Macaca fascicularis: one gene and its partner. The protein of the gene in region 1 purifies or fractionates together with the protein of each later gene. This does not show direct contact. Links are inferred from orthologs where the notes say so. Each region holds a gene or a part of one and is shown on either strand. Other genes may lie near its edges.

Region 1 (4,052 bases):
CGCATCTTGAAAAAGCTTACTGTAGCAATGGAATCCTTAATATTAAATGCTAGAATTTCAAACGAGTGTCACTATTTTCTCAAAAATATTTGTCAACTGTACTACATATAGCGCCAATTCTGGAAGAAGACGAACATGATTTGAATGGAACATCAGAAACACACTGATATACATACGTGAAAGGAAATAACGAGACTACAGATTTTTAAAATTTACCCCCAAAATGGCAAATGTATCAAAGAAACAAAACACATTTGCCAGTTATGTTGCACAAGATCTCTGTCTTGAAACATCACATTCTTTCAAGCAACATATAGCAAACTGCTTTCTCTAAGACTATCTTTAACACTGGTGAGAAAGCCTTTTAAACTATTTTCCGATTAACACCTCCCTCCTCAATTTGTTAAATATTTTGATCAAGTACAACAATGAAACCGTTTTTAAGGAAATAATGTCTAACTTAAAAAAACATTTAATCTCAATCTCTTTAATCAATGGAGGTGTGACAACCAACGCATGTAAAATTAACCTTAATCCACCAACTAAAACACGCAAAATGTCTCCTAACAATTCTCCTCCTTAAAACAACAACCGTACACATAAATACGGTTCTGACCTCCACCACTACTGCGAACAGCTAATTAATAAAGAGAATGGTTGTTTGGAGACCAAGGTGCAACACCCCACCTCATAAACCTCCCAAAATAACCATATCATCCAAGTAGAACTGAACATTATTTTTGCTAAAGCAGGATTTCAATCCCGGGGAGCCTCAGCCCTCAGACAATGGTGGTTACCAGACAGTGCTGCACAGTTGGGTCCAAATGACACATTTCACTAGGCCTTGGACACAACACACACACATGCGCGCGCGCGCGCGCACACACACACGCACACACACACAATATCCCAAGGGGCCAGTTCTAAGGAAGGGGCGTTCAAACCCCACTAGGAGACGGAGAGCAGCACCGCGGCATGGGGGGTCGCTAGGGGAGGACAGGCAAGGGGGTGTCGATAGAGCGGAAGGGTAACTGCACTGCACACGAGGGAGGGGGCTGGAAATGGCCGATGGATTCTATATTTATTTATTTAAAGGTCTTGATTTAACGGGTCCTTCCCAGGGGTTCTGTAACTAAAGGCAAACTGCGCAGCAAACATTGTGGGCTTGGGAGAGGAGTCGCTGCTCCCCCTACCCCGTGACCAGGGACGGGGGGGCGGGGGAAACAAGTTCCCCGGCCAACACCACAGACCACCCCGATTCCCCTCTCCCGCTCCTCCCCAGGAAGGGGTAGGCTAACACAGAAAAATGGGGGAAAACAAGTTCCCCAGCCAACCCCACCGCCCGAGTGCTCCCAGTTGCTCCCCCCAACCTACCATTAGAAAGAGACAGACTAAACCATGGAAGGCAGCAGAAAAGAGAGAAATCACGCCGCTCGCCTTCCCCCCCGGCCAACAGACTTCCGCGGGGTCCGTGAGCGAGCCGAGAAGCCAAAGGGATGGGTGGGGGTGGAGGGTGCCGAGCCCCCGAAACCAAACAAAGCGCGGCCTGAGCGAGAGCCCGGGCGAGTAGGGAAGCCGCGGCTTTTCCTGCCGGCCCGGCCCCGGCTGACACTGCGGCACCGGGGGACCCGCCTCCGCTCAGCTTGGGTCTCCCACCCCTAGGGCGCGCAGGCCGCCCCCGCCCGCCCCTGCCTCCCTTCCCGCGGTGCCCCGGCCGGCTGGCGGCTGGGAGGGAGCCCGGCCTTACCCCGCTCGCCGACGTTGTTCCGCTCCTGAGGCAGCGGCGGAGGCGGCGGTGGCGGCGGCGGAGGCTGCTGCTGCTGCTGTGGCGGCGGCGGAGGCTGCTGCTGGGGCGGCTGCTGCTGCTGGGGTGGCTGCGGCGGCGGCTGCTGCGGGGGCTGCTGCTGCTGTTGCTGCACCGGGCGCGGCCGCGACACTCGCCTGGGTCTCCGGTTGGCGGCTCGGACGGAGTTCATTTGCCGGGCTGAGGTGGCGGCGTTGGCGGAGGGACACACACACGCACACGCACAGCGAGCTTCGGGGCAGGAGAAGGGGGTGGGGAGAGTGGGAGAGGGAGGAGGAAGGAGAAGGGGCGAGGGGAAGGGGAGACGCTGAAGGCGGAGGGGGCGAGCGGGACCCCGAGTCCGGAGAAAGGCCTGGGTACACAGACGGAGACCGAGGGAGGCCGGCCGGGCGGGCCTGACGCACGGGGAAGGCCGAGGCCGCCGGGCGGGGCGGCCGCGAGGGACGAAGGCAGAAAGACGGGCAGAGCGAGAGAAAGAAAGAAAGGGCGTCCGCCGCTTGGGGATCCCGAGGCGAAGCGCGGCGGCGGCGGCGGCGGCGGCGGCGGCGGCTGAGGAGACAGATCCCGGTCCCGCCGACTCGCGAGCGGCGTCTCCGGCAGCGGGGGGAGTGGGCGGGCGGGTGAGGAAGGGAGAAGAAGAGAGGGAGAGAAGGGAGGGAGGGAGCAGGGGGCGCCCGGCTCTTTTTTTTTCCCTCTTCCTCCCCCCCACACCCCCTGAAAGAGATTTCTGTGAGGAATTTTTCTCTTTCTTCGGCCTCTTCTCTCTCCTCCCCCCCTTCTCTCCTCGGCGAAGGGGAAATGAGTGTGAAGGGAGGAGATAGGGAGAAAAAGAGGCGTCGTCGTTCCTCCTCCTTAAAGGAACCTTTTCTCCTCCTCCTCCTCAGCCCTGTCGCCGCTGCTTCTGCTGCTGCTCCGTGGCAGGAGGAGCCATTGACACCGCCGGAGCCTCCACTCGCCCAGTGGGTCCCTCCCCGCCGCGGGGCTGGCCGGGGGCGCGGGGGAGGGCCGCGAGGCGGCGGGGGGAGGGGTGAATGGGCGGGGAGAAGAGGGGCGGGGAATCCGTCCAGGCGGCCAATCTAAGGCTCCCGTACAACCTTCCGGCCAATGGGGCCTCCGCTCTTATCGCGAAGTTCCTTCAACGCCCCGTTTCCTCTCTCGGGTTTCCTCCCTCCCCCGCCTAGGAGGGGGAAAGAGGAAAGGGGGAGTGTGGTGGGGCGGGTGATAATGGGAGGTATCAGGGCAAATAATAGAGCAGGGGGTGGGCGAAGAGAGCGCCAGTGCGTAGCGACGATTCTGGGAGAGGAGGTGCTCGGAGGAAAGGGCGGGGGTTGCTGATGTAATGGGGAGAAGTGATTAATCCTTCGGTTCGCCGTTTCAGCTTCCCCCTCTACCCCAGCCTTCACCCAATTTTGTTGAGCTGAAAAAAAAGTGGAACGAGGGAGCCAATCTTTGGTAACTCGGGTTTTCTGTGGTAGGTGGGTTCAAAATCTGAGCTGTAGGGAGCGCTAGAGATTTCGTGCCCTTTAGCGAAGCTGAGGGTATTTGCAAACCCTGGAGATTTCCTTCTCCGAGCTTTGGGCTTGGTAACCGAAGTTTGGAGTCGGTGCTTAATCGTAGATCATCTAAACCTTGAAAAAGCTTTGACTTTTGGCCAGTTTGATTTGTTCTCTGAAGAAGTGTGTACAATGTGTGGGAAACTAATATGTGAGAGGAGAGAAGTAAATGAGTTGATGTTGTGATTGTTTATGTGATTTACTTTTTAAATTTTTTTTCAGGTCCCACAAACTACAAGGAAAAGAAAAACCCTCAAGAGGAATTACCTTTATACCTGATGCCCCCAACATAATCTCTCTTCAAGGGAAACTTGTTTTTATTCCCTCGCTTCTGTTACGATGACTGAAAATGTACTCTTTCTCGATTCTCCCCCTTCTCTCTTTTGTTTTGTATTTTTTTGGATGTGGTAAAACTGTCAGTTTATCTGATTCTCTGGTTTTCAGAACTTTGGGCAATGTCTCTGGTTTGAGTGTCATCAGTTGCTGTCTAGGTTTGACATCGATAATTAAGTAACTACAAAGCGTGATAAAGCTTTTGAGAGGGAGGAAAGTGTATTTTGGAAGGAGGAAGAGACGCAAAGAGGCGAGCCTGTATCTTGTACTGTGTTGAGTCCCAGACTTGGTGTGTGACTACAGGCAAAATACTTCACCTTTCTAGATGTCACCCCCCCCCCACCTCCCGAGTTTAAATAAGA
Region 2 (3,974 bases), on another chromosome or scaffold:
AAAAAATCGGCTCTAGCCTGTAATTCCAGCACTTTGGGAGGCCGAGGCAGGCGGATCACCTGAGGTCAGGAGTTCGAGACCGGCCTGGCCAACATGGTAAAAACCCGTTTCTACTAAAAATACAAAAGAGCCGGGCGTGGTGGCGGACACCTGTAATCCCAGCTACTAGGGAGGCTGAGGCAGGAGAATCGCTTGGACCCGGGAGGTGGAGGTTGCAGTGAGCCGAAATCGCGCCAGTGCACTCCAGCCTGGGCAGCAAGAGCGAAACTCCGTCTCAGAAAAACACCCCAAAAAGTCAGAATGCTTCACAAAAATTAAAGAAATACAGCGACTGCAGATGGGTCGGTTTCACTATAGCACAAGTAGCGGAAAGAGGACACAGACTGGGGAGAAATCACCCTACACAAGATGACAACTGAGGAATGAGGAGTGGGGACTGACACACGCCACGGTGAAACCGCGCACCACGACCAAAGGCGGTCCTAGGACTGCGACTAAGCGGGCGCAGAGGCCACCCTCCAGGCTTGGCGGGGGGATGAGGGCAGCACTGGGGGCCTGCTCAGTCTGGCCTTAGGGAGGACCTTCGGGGCTCTCCTCTCTCCCCATCGATCCCTGAGCAGTTCCCGAACAGAAATCGGAGACCAGACGGTGCCTGGGCCCCAGCCCTCCCACGCGGACTGCGCCTTGGGCCTGGCTCGGAGGTGGGTCAGAGTCTGCGAAAGACCAGCGAGGGCTCTCAGGTTTCGGGGCAGGCGGCGGGCGCCCACCCCGGCTAGCAATGGGAGTCGCGCGGCGACCGGGCGAGCCCGGTAGGCAGGACAGGACTGCGGCGCAGGTCCGACTCAGGCGGAGGAAGCAGCCGCCGCCCCAGCTGATGGAGTGCGGCCGGGGGCTTCCCAGAGGAGGCGGCGACCTCGAGCCCTTTCGAACGTTTCTACCAGGCTAGCTCACGTAGCCTCGGCCCCGCCCGGCCCCGCCCCACCCACTCCGGCCACCGCCCCCTCCCCGGCCGACACTTCGCGGGTGGGGCGACCTGCGATAGCCCCTTTAAGAGGCGTGGTCACGTGCTCCGCCCCCACCTCCCCCACGCGCGCCAGTAAGGGGTGGGGTGCGGGAGGAGGTGCCGGGGAGGCTGGGGGAACGAGGTGTGCGCTGCTGCGCAGGCGCGGTGGTCGGACGACAGACCGTGTGTTTCCAAAATGGCGGCAGCGATGGATGTGGATACCCCGAGCGGCACCAACAGCGGCGCGGGCAAGAAGCGCTTTGAAGTGAAAAAGGTTGGGTCTCGCCAGCGCCTTCCTCAGGGAAGCTAGAGAGGCGCGGATCTGGCTGGCAGGCCCGAGGATGGTCGAGGCGCGGAGTAAAGGGTTTCATTTTAGGGCGTTCCTGGGACCGGGTACCACGAAAGGAAGTCGGGGGGCGGGCCTTAGAGTTGATCGGCGTGACGGCGGCCCACTGTCAGGGGAAGTGTTGGTTTCGATGTGAGGCTGAGGGGCCAATCACAGAGCTGCTTGTTGAGATACGCGGGGTTGCGACTTGGCGGCGGGAGCCAAGCGCCTGAGCTGTCACTGGAGTGGTTGAGAGGTGGGGGAAGGTAGGGTGGGGTGGGGTGGGGTGGGGTGGGGTGGGGTGGGGTGGGTGGAATGGGGAGTCAGAGCGACTGCGGCGGTGGAGGATGGGGCAGTGCGGCGAAAGCCTGGAACCTGAGGTCCTACCGCATTGGAGGCCTCTGAGGAGCCCCGCTAGTGATCTTGCTCCGCCCCTTTTTGAAGCTTGCTTGGGGTCCTCTCACTTGAAGGGATCAGACTTGTTCCTCGCTGAACCGAGGCCTCCATTAACCCCATCTCTGGGCCTCACACCGCCGAGTTAGAGTCTGGAGTGTAATGCTTGGGTGTTCTGAGACGTCTGTTGGCTTTTCCCACAACCACCCCACTCTTGGATTCTCTGTCACGTTCAGAATCTCCCCCTTCCGAAATAATAATAAAAAGCACGGTGGAACTTGTTAAGAAAATCCGAGCCCAAATCCTGTGGCATTTCGGGAGGGTTGAGTAGTAGTTGCGAATGACTTGGTAAGAGGGGAAAGCAAAAATGGAACGTGTCTTTTGCATGAAATGCATTTTAGTGGTTTGCCACAGTTTGGGAGAAAAGTGTCGATTCCCACCTAACATGAAAACTATTCGAAATGGAGATTCTGAAATAGGGAAGATATTCCTGGAACATCTGGCTAAACACTGACAATATCCCCCCCTCCTAGTGCTTTTTGGTGTCTCATTGTGGCCACTGCTGCTCAGTTACAGCCAGCCATATTGAAGAATAATAGAAGTAGGGGCTTTTCCTCCAAGTTGAAGCTGTGATGTGAAAAGTGGTGAAGAAGTTACTAGGCACTGAGACTGGGGTTTGAAAGCGATGAAGGTTTGGGAGTACTTGTAATTGAGGAAACCAGAGTTGAATGAATGAAATGCCACTTTTAGTTAAACTCTTACTGGAATTATTATCTTAATAGAAGAGTCTAAACATATAAAAGTTCAGAACATCAGTTTATTTTATGGTAAGAATCGAACAAAATTCTAGTGAATTGTAGAATTTGTTATGAAGTAATCTAAGATTTAAGTGATGACCTTGTTCTGTGTACTGACATGGGCAGTTAATTATCCAGCTTATCCCACGATTACCCGTTTTATGATCCAGTCATCATCTTAGTTCATTCTGTTCCCTAGCTTTCACTTCATTGCTCATGCTTCCAAAGCTGCCTGGAAGAGCAGATACTTATTCAGATTTTGAGCGCTTCTGCAACTGCCACCAAAACCTGCACAGAAATTCAAGTTTGTGCTTTTTTTTTTTTTTTTTTTTTAGATGGAGTCTCACTCCATCGCCCAGGCTGGAGTGCAGTGGCACGATCTCGGCTCACTGCAACCTCTGTCCCCCAGATTCAAGCGATTCTCCTGCCTTAGCTTCCCAAATAGCTGGCATTATAGACACCCGCCACCAAGCCTGGCTAATTTTTGTATTTGTAGTAAAGACGGGGTTTCGCCATATTGGCCAGGCTGGTCTCGAACTCCTGACTTCAGGTGATCCACCCGCCTCAGCCTTCCAAAGTGCTAGGATTATGGGCGTGAGCCACTGCGTCCGGCCAGACTAAATTGTTTTAAACTACAGGAAACAAATTAAAAGATGACATTAATTTATGTGTTCATATACTCAGTCTTTTGGAGAATAGGAGAATGTATGTGTTGTCTACTGTTGTCTTTGGTATAATAAGATTAACATAATATCCAAAAACTTTTGTTTGGTGGTTCCCTGTGGCCAGAGATCATAACTACAACTGCAGCCTGAAGTCCTAAAAACTGTGTGTGTGTTATAAGGAGAATGCATTGTTCCCTCTTTTTGTCTTTGCAGTGGAATGCAGTAGCCCTCTGGGCCTGGGATATTGTGGTTGATAACTGTGCCATCTGCAGGAACCACATTATGGATCTTTGTAAGTAATTGGAGGAGGATGGGAGGAAGTTGAGAAGGTTGCAGAGCTTGTGGCTATCTTGATGTGACCGATTTTCTTCTTCACAAGCAGATATCAAGCCTACTCTGAGCACTCGGTCTTCTGTATCTAGTCTTTTGGTGTGTTTGAAATAGAGTAGTTTTTTTATGATGTCCTGGAGGCATACCCAGCTTTCAGAATAAATCTACTCAATCTAAAGATGGCAGGGACACATTTAGAATTAATTGTGGACAACAGGCACTGTTGATTCTTCCTGCATATCTCCCATCTTGTACCTAGACTCAAAGGTAGAAATACTGAAAGGAGGAAAATAAACTTTGAGCTAAAATATTCTATCTGAGGCGAGGCGTGGTGGCTCATGCTTGTAATCCCAGCACTTTGGGAGGCCAAGGCGGGCAACATGGTGAAACCCCGACTCTATTAAAAATGCAAAAATACTCTATTAAAAATGCAGAAATTAGCCGGGCGTGGTGGTGCATGC

Evidence for each region. Proteins that work in one complex are often made in the same cells at the same time.
Region 2: the proteins of FBXO11 (region 1) and RBX1 purify together in Homo sapiens (co-immunoprecipitation; 4 studies listed by BioGRID and IntAct, with this or other methods). This does not show direct contact. The link is inferred for Macaca fascicularis from reciprocal best matches to the Homo sapiens genes FBXO11 and RBX1.

The regions. Positions count from the first base shown.
Region 1 is NC_088387.1:74,104,695-74,108,746, reverse strand, and holds the start of FBXO11 (F-box only protein 11), read right to left. Parts: upstream 2,801-4,052; 5' UTR 2,764-2,800; coding exon of another isoform or gene 2,689-2,763; 5' UTR 1,977-2,688; coding exon 1,748-1,976; intron 1,687-1,747; exon of another isoform or gene 1,468-1,686; coding exon of another isoform or gene 1,399-1,467; exon of another isoform or gene 1,375-1,398; intron 1-1,374. Other genes in the region: uncharacterized protein, read left to right, coding at 1,399-1,467, 2,689-2,763, 3,183-3,256, 3,580-3,700. UniProt on the Homo sapiens protein: Substrate recognition component of a SCF (SKP1-CUL1-F-box protein) E3 ubiquitin-protein ligase complex which mediates the ubiquitination and subsequent proteasomal degradation of target proteins, such as DTL/CDT2, BCL6, SNAI1 and PRDM1/BLIMP1.
Region 2 is NC_088384.1:10,679,339-10,683,312, reverse strand, and holds the start of RBX1 (E3 ubiquitin-protein ligase RBX1), read left to right. Parts: upstream 1-1,174; 5' UTR 1,175-1,199; coding exon 1,200-1,277; intron 1,278-3,396; coding exon 3,397-3,475; intron 3,476-3,974. UniProt on the Homo sapiens protein: E3 ubiquitin ligase component of multiple cullin-RING-based E3 ubiquitin-protein ligase (CRLs) complexes which mediate the ubiquitination and subsequent proteasomal degradation of target proteins, including proteins involved in cell cycle progression, signal transduction, transcription and transcription-coupled nucleotide excision repair.